2 linked regions of the Arabidopsis thaliana genome follow. The protein of the gene in region 2 purifies or fractionates together with the protein of the main gene of each other region. This does not show direct contact. Each region holds a gene or a part of one and is shown on either strand. Other genes may lie near its edges.

The links. The genes of interacting proteins can lie anywhere in the genome.
Region 1: the proteins of CDKD1;3 (region 2) and PGM3 purify together in Arabidopsis thaliana (affinity purification with mass spectrometry, with the first as the bait; one large-scale study listed by BioGRID). This does not show direct contact.

What each region holds. Positions count from the first base shown.
Region 1 is NC_003070.9:8,218,085-8,225,093, reverse strand, and holds PGM3 (Phosphoglucomutase/phosphomannomutase family protein), read right to left. Parts: upstream 5,287-7,009; 5' UTR 5,149-5,286; coding exon 5,071-5,148; intron 4,483-5,070; coding exon 4,401-4,482; intron 4,314-4,400; coding exon 4,258-4,313; intron 3,905-4,257; coding exon 3,791-3,904; intron 3,656-3,790; coding exon 3,593-3,655; intron 3,448-3,592; coding exon 3,328-3,447; intron 3,242-3,327; coding exon 3,141-3,241; intron 3,036-3,140; coding exon 2,976-3,035; intron 2,875-2,975; coding exon 2,775-2,874; intron 2,682-2,774; coding exon 2,524-2,681; intron 2,437-2,523; coding exon 2,341-2,436; intron 2,232-2,340; coding exon 2,168-2,231; intron 2,082-2,167; coding exon 2,000-2,081; intron 1,918-1,999; coding exon 1,739-1,917; intron 1,648-1,738; coding exon 1,571-1,647; intron 1,461-1,570; coding exon 1,328-1,460; intron 1,216-1,327; coding exon 1,099-1,215; intron 980-1,098; coding exon 908-979; 3' UTR 547-907; downstream 1-546. Other genes in the region: AT1G23180 (ARM repeat superfamily protein), read right to left, coding at 5,579-6,210, 6,285-6,475, 6,573-6,613, 6,694-6,747, 6,850-6,946. UniProt on the Arabidopsis thaliana protein: Catalyzes the reversible isomerization of alpha-D-glucose 1-phosphate to alpha-D-glucose 6-phosphate. The mechanism proceeds via the intermediate compound alpha-D-glucose 1,6-bisphosphate.
Region 2 is NC_003070.9:6,206,338-6,211,133, forward strand, and holds CDKD1;3 (cyclin-dependent kinase D1;3), read right to left. Parts: upstream 3,192-4,796; 5' UTR 2,963-3,191; coding exon 2,864-2,962; intron 2,719-2,863; coding exon 2,420-2,718; intron 2,334-2,419; coding exon 2,225-2,333; intron 2,125-2,224; exon of another isoform or gene 1,809-2,124; intron 1,796-1,808; coding exon 1,670-1,795; intron 1,517-1,669; coding exon 1,281-1,516; intron 1,202-1,280; coding exon 944-1,201; intron 840-943; coding exon 791-839; 3' UTR 534-790; downstream 1-533. Other genes in the region: AT1G18030 (Protein phosphatase 2C family protein), read left to right, coding at 1-30, 231-341; AT1G18050 (SWAP/surp RNA-binding domain protein), read right to left, coding at 3,625-3,905, 4,148-4,218.

The DNA of each region.
Region 1 (7,009 bases), 2.0 Mb from region 2:
ATATGCATAGCTTTTTCGAGAAAACAAAATATATTGCACGATTATATAATCAAATTCTTTTTTTTCTCACGTTCATATATTATGTATATGAATATGATTTATACGACCACTCAATTAGTCACATGTTATTGATACTTGACAGAACTCATTATGTCTGAATTTGGATTTGAAATATACTGATAGGTCAATGATACAAATATTTGATACTAAAACTCAAAAGAGAAAGAAATCGAGTATAAGAAAGATATACTTACACGAAATAAAGGATAGTGTGGTTTAAGTGGAGTAGAAAGTTGAATGAAGCTTCGTTCTAGATATGGAAGGTCCGGTGGGAGAATTAGGGTTGTGTACGACTCTAACCAAATCTTTGGGTTTCCTTGTTCCAATTCTCTATATTCGTTTCGAAAGCAACACATACATATATTGAATCTTCCATTTATTCTCTTTCGTTTTCAAGTTCGACGTCTCTCCCACTTTTCAAAAGAGAAGTAATAAAAAATGGCTTTCGTCCATATATTATGGTATCATGCATTGAAAACCATGCAACATCAAACCAAAACACGAGAGGGTGCATTTTCATGAGTACCCATTTGAAGTAATTAGACAACTCTGAGATTTGTCAATGGATGGTCGTAGCATGCTTTGAGGTATCAATGAACTTAGATGTTAAGAGAGTATACTCGCCAAAATACGGAAACAAGAGAGAACAAAACTGAGAAAGCCAAATCCGTACAAGTATAAGCCTCACAACAACTCAAGAAATCAGTCTTGGTTGTTCAGAATTCTGATGAGAAATACAAATTCTCCCTGAGACTAATTATTCTTATAATGTAACTTGGATAGTATAAGAAGAAAACATCATATAGACGAAAAGGTGAATGGTTTGAGTCGTTGAGCTTGACCCTTCTTATGTTATGACGGTGGGGGCTGATCGGCCTGTGAACTCTTCCATCTTCGACAGCTTTAGAGCTAAGTCAACCTGTGAATCACACATCAACAATTACGTATTTGATTAGAGAAAACCCCTTTGGTATTAGCTAAATGGTAATGAGTCGGAAAACAGTTTATGGATTTGAGGTTTTATAGTAAGCAACTGACCAGAGGAGACAAAGCTTCCTGGGATTCTCGGCCGGTTTTTGAAGCATCCTTTTCGTACTGTTCGATGTAAAGCCGGATGGTTGCTCCTTCTGAGCCAGTTCCAGAGAGACGGAAAACCTTCATATGGTTTCAGATATAACAAGAGAGGATTAGTTAGTTTTGATTTCTATCACTTTGTTCTTAGCTGGAATGTATCCAAGCTCAAATACCGAAGAAAAAGATGACTTACAAGTCGTGATCCGTCTTCAAACAAGTAACGGATTCCCTGGTGCTTCGAAATGGATCCATCAACTGGATCTTTGTACTCGAATTCATCAGCACTGGCGACGCTTGCCACGTCCGAACGAATTCCTTTCACAATCCTGAATAAAATCAAGAGAGAAGAAGAGGTTAGAAAAACAGAGTACCAAACTGATGAGTACGTGTTCAAGTATAAAAGGAAGGGATTTCAGAGAAGTGGAAGTGTGTGTACTTGTTAACTTCAGGAATTGAAGATTGCAATTTGACCAAATGCTCCATCAGTTCCTTAGCTTTACCTGCGTCTACATTCTTTAGAGACAAATTTTGAGATGTCAGTAAGGGTACTGTTTCTTCCATATAATATGGTATAATTACAATCACCAAACTTAGCAACTTTTACCTCATAGTCGTAACGAGTGTAATAGTGACGACCGTAGGTAGCCCAATGCTGGCGGACAATGTCTTCAACTGACACCAGTTTAGCGTTACCGTCAATATTTCCCTTGTTCTTGTGAGCAAGTATAGACATCCATGCAAGAACTGCCCATATTCCGTCTTTCTCACGGATATGATCCGAGCCTGTGAAAGATCTTTCTTTCAGAACTGTATAGGTTGTTTTAAAGTTATGAACAGATGTGTGAGTGTGGAAATAGAAACTGACCAGTTCCAAAACTTTCTTCTCCACAAACAGAACACATCCCAGCATCCATCAGATTACCAAAAAACTTCCAGCCTGTTGGAACCTGATATGTGATTTAATAGAGATATGAAATTAAATTATGTAGTTAGGAGAAAAGAAGCTGGATAGAAGTTGCACGGTGACATGTACCTCAAAGAACTTCAAATTCAAGCTTTTTGCAACGACATCAAGAGCAGCTGAGGTTGGCATGCTCCTAAAACAAGAAGTGGAAGTTACAAAATAATCCACAAAAAAGATATATTAAAAGAGTTGTATACACAGAATTCTACTAGAAGTAAAAAAAGAGCCCAGGTGTATAATACCTTGCAACACCTTTCAAACCAGAGCTGAAGTACGGGATGGCACCAATAGCATTTGCAGCAATTATGGCAACTGAATCCGAAGGAGTTACAAAGAACCTACAAATGAAGAGATACTTTAAGTTTAAAAGTACTTGGTATACTAGTTCCATGGATGTATCTCTCTTGAAAACGTCAGTAAGCTACCTTTTACCAAGGATCATGTTACGGTCTGCATCACCATCAGCAGCGGCGCCAAACTCTGGAGGTTCACCTCCAGTGTCGGATTTACCTAATCCCATTCGTGCCACAAGCTCCTTAGCATAGGTCAAATTGGGATCCGGATGCCCTCCTCCAAAGTCCTCCTGCAAATCGTTGTATTGTGGTAAATATTGAGCCTGGAGGTGTATTTGTAATCATTTATGGAATAGCGTTTCTTGGTTAGACAAAAATAAGACCTTGGGAGTGCAGTTCAATAATGCGCTTTCTTGCGCACCGAGTTCTTCGACAAAGATGCGATGTGCATAGGCTCCAGCAACTCCATGCAATGCATCATAGCTTCATAAAACAAAGTAAAATATAACATTACAGTGATGGAACATATATTACAAAACTTAACTCAAATGGAAAAGGTTTGGGAACCAATGTTAGTTACATACCAGAATGTAAACTTTGGAGATGATAGCAATTTCCGGATGGCTTCAAAATCGAAGATTGACCTTGAAGGAGCGAGAATTTTTCTTTAGAAAGATCATAAAAATTGCACATAGACCATAGAGGGAGCAGATTCCAGAATCATGCTTTTAAATTGAGGGACCACTCACTTCATTAATTTAACGTAGTCATCTGCGGGATCAAAAACTTCAACATCAAATTTTCCTTCAGGTCCTTCAAAACTGGTTACACCAACAGCAGAAATATCAACCTGTCGCATTCATCAGATAGACCAGATCAACTATGATTCAACAAAAGACAGATGATGGAAATCTATAAGAGGATTCTTAAGAATACATTGGGTAGATCTTGTGCTATTGGGTACTCCTTGATTGTCTTAGTGTTCTCGTAAATTTTATCAGTGATTGATTCAGGAGCAGGTCCTCCATTTTCCATATTGTATTTGATTCCAAAATCCTGTACAAGGGGTATGGAATCACCTCTTAGTCTTATTATCCATCTAGATATCTTATTATTAAAAAAAGAACAAATAAAGAGATACAAAACGAATAGTTCAAATGAAAGGATAGCACAGTAGAGATGGAACAAGAACAGAACGGACCTCAGTAGGGCCACCAGGATTGTGGCTTGCTGTTAAGATAAATGCTCCAGTTGCTTTCGATCCCTGTAATCGGAGACTGGGGTTAAGTAACTCAAAACCATCATTACATTTTGCGTCATGCACAAACATAGCAAATAACCAAAAAAAACAAAAAACAAAATGTCACTACAACCATGAGCATAGAGAAAGAAATCTCACATCAGCCCCTGATCTTTCACGAATCACAGCTGATACAGCAGGAGTTGATAACAGAGTGTTTTTACCAACCCACACACGTCGTACACCATTAGCTGCTGCCATCTTAATTATGATCTGTTAAGATACAAAATAAAATTGTATGAAAAGCAGTAAAACATCTTCATCTGTAACAGTATGAACCGGATTTGTAATAGGAGTAGATCAAACAAACTTAAGTTTCAGAGATTTCAAAGTCAAACAAAACTTTAACTTCTATAAACCTCTAATCTCTCTATAGAGGTTTCGATGCAAATTTTAGAGATGAACACAAAGAAAAATAAGCAAGGCATTGATGATAATAGCAGGCCTTCCTAACACAGGAGTTCCCTCCAAAACATTGTAAATACATGAGCACTAATTCATAATTCTATGGATACGCCAATTACATTCACACAGATCCAGAAGACAGGGAATATCATCGGCCTTACCTGAACAGCATCCTTTGAGTAATAACGACCATCACCAGAGACCACAAGTGTGGCACCTGCACATATGAACAATAAACACTCATGAATTTTTCGAATGAGCAGATATCTCTGAGAAGCTAAGATGAGTATGAAAAAAATCTCACCTTTAACTTTCTCCGCCGTAAGAGCATTGAATGTTGCTTGGACAAAATTCTCTAGATAATTGGGTTGCTTGAACACTTTCACCTACACAGTTAGAAAAAAAAAAAAAAATACTAATCAGAGATACAAAAAGATGCTAGTTTGATATCTGCAGAGAGTAGAACAAACAATCGACACTCGATTGATTGGATAAAATGATCAACCCAAATTTCTTTTATCAAAATATCTGAAACAGATCTGATCAGTGAGTCTCAATAAACGTCATTGCAGATCGTATATACGTTAAACGAAGATCTGACAATAACAACTAGGCTCTTCCCTAGTTTCAATTATACACAAATTCAATCCATATAGTCTCCATTTCGCTACACCAACTCAAAAAACGTAATTTCAAGCTCTATCAAATCAACATTCACCACATAGAAGCGTCCCAAACATATACTCAAATCAAATATAATAAACGTGATCTCGAACTTGATCCAAATAAAATAACGAAAACGAAATTTAAAATTTGTCATCATTCACTAATCAATATAGATTAATGCATAGATCAAATCTAATCAGATGGTCAATCTCACTTCAAAATCACACTCAAGAAAATCTAAACAGATCTGATCCAGATGCAACAATTCGATTTCGTTTGATTCAGAAGACAAGGATCGATCAACGAACCTTCTTACGAAGACCAGAAGTTCCTGGTTTCTGGCCATCAATAGGAGATGTGGATACGGTAGAAACCTTGAAAACCATATTCGCTTTGAGAAGAACAAAGATCAAAATTTGGACGCAGAGAGAGTGATGATGATAAAAGCAAGCAGCTCTTAAATAAATTACGCAAAAGAGAAGCTTGCTTAAAAGCTAAACGATCCCAAGACACGTGTAACCAAGTGAGTGAACTAGAACGTTTCTCTCGTTTTCACTGACACAGTAAGAAAATCTCAGCCGTTGGATTGTATTTTCAGATTTTAAATTCATTTTTGCTTGCGTAACATTTCAAAGATTAAATATTTGATTGATCATGTGTAATCTCTAGAATATGGTAATAGTAATATACGTGCTACGTAATCCGATTATCTTAATGTAATTAACTTTTCGTATATTCGTCTCACATGACAAATCATACATTATATTATTCTAATTGATTCCAAAATTTTACATGACAATAATCTGTAAAAATGTCTTAAACGGGTAAATTTCTGAGTAACCGAAGAGCTTTCTCCCATTGTGGTCGTTGAGACATAACGATACGTCTCAATACTGGTACAGCTCCTGCTCTTATGATGGCTGTGTGGTTCTCACTGTCCATGGTTAAGTTGTACAATACTGACAAACTCGCTTCAACGCACCGCTCGTTCCTTTCTTCAAGAAGCTTAACCAGCGGTTCGATACCTCCTTGTGAAGCAAGTGTTTGGATAGATTCTGGAACTCCCTCGGAGACTATCTTGTTCAGTTCTAAAACCGCTGCTTCTTTCGTTTCTGGTGATGAGGAAAAGCTCATTTGTTCCACGAGGCTCGGGATCGTTTTGTACAGAGTTACCTCAAGATTGATCGGATTGTTGAGGGATTGAGAGGGAGAGGAGAGAGCGGTGAGTTTGACAAGACAAGCGGCAACCCAGTCTTTGTAGTGTAGAGGGAGGCTTGATCTTAGGATCTTCCTTACTAATTCTATGAAGACCGCGGTATCTATTGTTTGGCGAAAGGACTCGGAGTCAAGAAGTTTTGTCAGTAGCCTTGAAGCAGCGGAAATCGTCAAACCAGCTTCTTCTAGCTTAAGCAGATGTTTCTCTAACTCCTCAGCTTCATTCTCAGGTTCTGCATTTCCATAAAAAGTATTGTATGCTGTTATAAAATTCAAACAGAGTTATATCAAAAGATAAGTTTTGTACCTTCCAGGACTTTCTGCCGGAGAGCAAGATCAAGAACAGTTGTGATATCCTTGGAGATGATCGTGTCCATGTTTGGATTACTGATTATACCAAACTCGATGACAGAGATTGCGTTTCTTAGCAGGTTCGGAGAGGCTGTTTTCGCAATCTGGACGAGCCGAGAAAAAACAGCAGCGTCCAGAACTTCCTTTCTGTTCATTCCCATCCGATGTTTTGAGTAATTAATACTTCTAAAAAAACAAAAAGAATGAATGAGCTGAAGATAGGAAGATCGAGAAGAAGACTGACCTGGAGTCTGCTTTTGATCCGTTCACCGGTCCTTCATAAAACTGTAGCATGTAGAGAAATAGCATAAGCCAAATGAAAGCAGATTTAATGTATAATAATCAACCTTGGAAAATAAACACACCTTGGATTCCATTTCCTTGCTAGGATCTAAGATATGAGCAATTATATCCAGAACCTGCATAACATAGTTCACAAAATACCATTTCACGTCCAGTTATTCCATAATAGCCTAGACAAAGATATCAAAGAACAAAGGAAGAAGAAAATGAAGTCATACGTGTTCTGTAACGTTTAGTGAGATCTCTGGCTGCTTCAGAAGATTAATAAGAAACCATACTGCACCTTCAGCTTCAATCCTCTGGCAAACAGTGCGGCTGCATTACAAGTATAAATAATCTCAACCTCTGAGGAGAAACTGCTTAGTAAAAATGTAAAGA
Region 2 (4,796 bases):
GCTGTTGGATTTGTCCAGAAACTTTTGAAGGTAAATACCTACAGTTGTCAAAATCACTTTGTCCTCCATTTCACACTCTCTTTAACTACATAGAAAGAAGCTCAAAAAACAGATGTTTTTCGGTAGCCATGTGAGCAAAATGGCTTGTTAGAACCTTGTGCACACAAGTAAAGAGTGTCAAGGGAAATTAAATGTGAGAAACTAAGAGGCTAAGAACTATGATTTTGTAGGAGGGCTTGCATGTAAGCACGGTAAGTCGCCGTCTTGTGAAGGAAGCTGTGAAAGAACGTCGTTGCAAAGACAACTGCACAGCAATCGTGATAGTCTTCAAGCGGGTATGACTAAAGAAGAGCCTGACTGACATGTGGGCATCTGTTTTTCTGGCTCGTATGTGTTTTATAAACCTGTTGTTGGTATTTGGTAAAATCTTTTTGAGCTGTCAATGGATCAATTAAATTCCTGGGGCCACCATCGAAAGAAAAATGAGTTTGAAGATTAAACAGAGCTCTCTTTGTACCGCAAAGAATTCTAGAAGCAAAAAGTAGAAAGCTTTATAATCATAGACTTCATAGTACAGTATGATCAGTTTACAATGAATAAAAAGCCTATGGGACAACAAAATATTATCATTGTGAATCTAAGGTCCCTCTGGTTTGTAATCAAGCTAAATATGGAAAAGAATAAATCGCCAGATTACACAAGCAGCAGTAAATTGACAACTTAACAATGGTGTGGTTTCACCAGAACATGAAAATGGAGAAGCTAAGAGAAGAGTGCATAACCAACAGTCTTACTGGAACTCAAGATCGAGTTTCCTCTTCAGATGAGATCTATCAGCACTACAAATTGAACAAGAAGAAGTCATTAAAACACAATCAATCTTGAGGCTGTAATGACAAATGAGATTAATATGCAGTGAGGGAGAAACTGTCTTGTTTTTTACCTGGTGATTGTTGGCCTGTTTGGAGGTCGCTCAGCGAGGATGGTAAAATCTAATGACATGGGTGCTTGTTGATCCTTGTCAACATGAGACTTCAAACTATCAACCCTCCCACGCTCAGGCATCACTCTTCTAAGCTTACGTGGTGGTGATTGCACTGTAATGGCCTCATGTTTACCGTAAGATGATTTACCATCCTGCTTAGGAACGGGCTTTGGGAGCTTAGCCGGGTCAGTAGGAGCAGGTGCAGAAGTGAAGTACCTGAAATAATGAAAACAAAGGTGTGAGAGCAGAACGCTAGATATACTTTGCCTATAAACAGATGGTGAACATTAGGCACCTGTGTTCTAGAGCCTGCTTAATGGAAATTCTAGCCTTTGGGTCATAGGTAAACATTTTGGACAACAAGTCGAGAGCATCATCACTAACTGCTGGGAATAAAGAACGTAGAGACGGTGCAGGGACAAATTGATACTCTACATAATCTGGAAGCTTTGTTAAATCCGGCCACTGATCTGCTTTTGGTGTCCCAAAAGCAGCAAATATTTTGCTTAATTGATCAATATCACTGTTTCCCTGCAACGGCAAAAATAGAATAAGTAAACATACCGAGAAAATTGATAATGAATATGTAATTATGTAGTCTGAGAGTGAGTATAACATCCAAAGAGATGACAATTGGACTAAAGTTTTAATGGTAGCCATTAGATTTGAGTAAGATTATTTAACCTGAAGAAATGGTCTGCGTAGTAGAAGTTCGGCGAATATGCAGGCAACGGCCCAAACATCAACTGCAGCACCATATTGTTTTGCACCAAACAAAAGTTCTGGTGCTCTGTACCATCTAGCAAACACCTGTGCATTATCAGATATATCAAGATATGAAGATAATATAACAACTAGAAACAAGAGAAAATAAGTTGCATTGCGCATTTGGAAACAGAGCTCACATGGATTCTATTGTAATTTTGGGTGTTCAAAGGGAAACAAAGAAGGCAGAAATAGCTCAGGTCAAAAATCCGGTTAACAGCAAAACTTTTAGTACAGATATGAGATAGCTACTGCACCATCATTTAATATGAGTTGAGACTGTTTAATACATGTTACATTTAGTATACAACTAGAGAAATGAAAAGACATGAGACATCTAATCTTCCTCATCCCTAGACATAACTACTGATAAGAACTACTTAAAACTTTCTTATCAATATTTCATATGAGTTAGTCGATCAATTTGGTTATATTACAGCAATAGATAAAATGGCAATGCGGCAAAAGGCATACCTGGTGGGTAAACTTACGATTTGGACTACCAAATATACGTGCTAAGCCAAAATCTGCAAGCTTAAGCTGTCCATCAACTCCTATTAACAAGTTATTTGGCTTCATATCCCTGAACTCAAGCCACACATAATCAGTGCCCAAACCAAGCAACATTACAGAGACAATAAGCAAGTTGTTAAGGATAAACAAATGTACCTGTGCAAAACCCATTTATCGTGGCAATAAGCAAGTCCTTTAAATGTCATTAGGAGGTAGGATTTAATGTCGGCGGGTGAGAGGAAAATGTTAGAATCGCGAATAACTGCTTCGAGGTCAGTCTCCATGAACTCAAAGACAAGATGCAAGTTTTCCTTGTGAGGAAATGCATCAATGAGCAGAATAATATGAGGATGCTTTAGCTCTTTGAGCATTTTGATTTCTCTGAGAGCTGTAATATTTACACCTTCTCTTTGTTTACCAAGCCTTATCTTCTTAATTGCTACAGTTTGTTCCGTCTGCAAAATTACACCCCACAATTACTTCCCCTTGATCCAACAAAAACTTCAATCAAAATCCGGAACCAAAAAAGAAGGAGAAATTAGGAATTGCCGACAGATCCTAAACCCTAATTTTGCAAACAAAAATCAGCAAAGATATGACCTTAGTATCAGTGGCTTTGAAGACGACTCCATAGGTACCTTGCCCAAGAACCTCTTGCTTGAGATACCTATCAGCAACTTTCTTTGGCTGCTCCGGCATTTTCGGGTTTTTCAGAACCCACTCAATAATCGCGCCTCTCTCTTTCTTCTTAATTCACGTCGCTAGAATTCGATTGCTTTCCGATTTTTATTCTAAATTGAGTAAAATCGACGATGAGGAAGATACCGGGAAAATTTAGGGTTTCAGCTTTGAGAGCTCCGGCTCCGGAGAAAAAGTAGCCGTTGGCGCGTTTGCAGACGCAATCGGCTAATCGAGGGAAACAACAAATAAAGAGAAACGCCCAATTATTTACTTTTCTAGTTTTTTATACATTTAATATCCAAACATTTTCGATTTATAAAAGAGAAAAATATTATTTAATATCTAAACTTTTAAACAATAGCTAAATTAATCGTGAATTTTTGATTTTTTGAAATGACTGTTTTATACCTCAACAAATTTAACCTATAACCTATAAAGCATATTAGCAATCCACGTGTTTTTGCTAGAGTTTAGCTGATTTCTTAAGAGCTATCGTTGCTGTTTCTCGTCCATATCCCCTTCCTTGATAGTTTCAAGCTCTTTGCCAGTAATCCATTCAGGGAGTATAGCTGCATACTTGCGAGGTGGTGGAGGCGGATACTTCATTGTCGGCTTCTGGTCACTAGCAAAGCCCGGAGGAGGTTTTGGAATCTGAAGCGGTGGTTCCCTTACCCTCACCCTCAATGGAACATCAGGTATCCCATAATCACTAAGTTTGATCTCAGGTCCCTCATGTAATTCTGCGCACGGTATCCAGCAAGCTTTTTCTGGTAATAAGCATGATAACGATCTGAGCTCCAGAAGAAGGAGTACTTTGGGTTTCCCGCATAGCTTGTCATCATCTTTCTCTCCATCTCAGGCCCCTCCATGAAAACCAAACGGGCTGAGCTATCCGCATAATATCTAGTCCTCGGAGGTACATCTGCCGGAGTTCGATTGCAAATCACTCGACATCTCTTTTCTATACAAAGAGAAACACAAAATAATAGATAAAGTTAACCCTTGATGACAAGAGATGCAAAGAGATCGATTGAATGTGTTGATTATCACTTGACCCTGAGCTCTATATGACTATATTTATACAAGGGGTAAACTACCAAGAAAACGAATTATCTTCCTAAACGTAAATATAAGAAAAGGCAAAGATACATATCCAAGGACTACTTAGGGTTTCGGAGAGAGATAACAAGTACCGTACCTCACCCACCGGAAAGTAACAGCCACGCCGCGAGAGCCACAGTGACGTCGTGAACGAACGAACTCTAGTTCTGAAGCTTGGAAATTGACAATTGCAAATCAACGGAGAATATCCTCTTAGAACAAATCCACGGAGCCCTATGCGTAGCCTAGCACTTATAGACGAGAAACTTGTGCTCCAGGTTTTATAATGGGCCTCTGTTATTCGGGCTTATAACTTCGGGCCATATTTACTTAATTTGAAGTTAAATTCGGTTTTGGGTCGAGATTTTGGGTTTTAGTTGTTTTTTGTTGTGAGAGACGTCGTTTTCCATTTTCACCATACATTATCTACTTAACCGGTAAGAACCAAATCATACATACATGAACTGTTATGTTATAAAACCATTCTGTTTAACATCAGAACATTACGGAAAAACGGTCTATTTCCCCATGGGAACTATCGCATCTGGCTAGATGAAGCCCGATCTTTGACCTCTTGCTATTTACCCATGAAATGAAAGTTAAACGTCTATTTCCCCACCAATTAAAAGTTCAAGAGCTTAATGTCCCCGAATCGTGGTTACTTCGGTTTGATACGTAAACCCGAGACGAAACCATATTATCGGTCAAAACCAAACCAAAAAAACCCGGATTCGTTTTTAAAACCCGATCC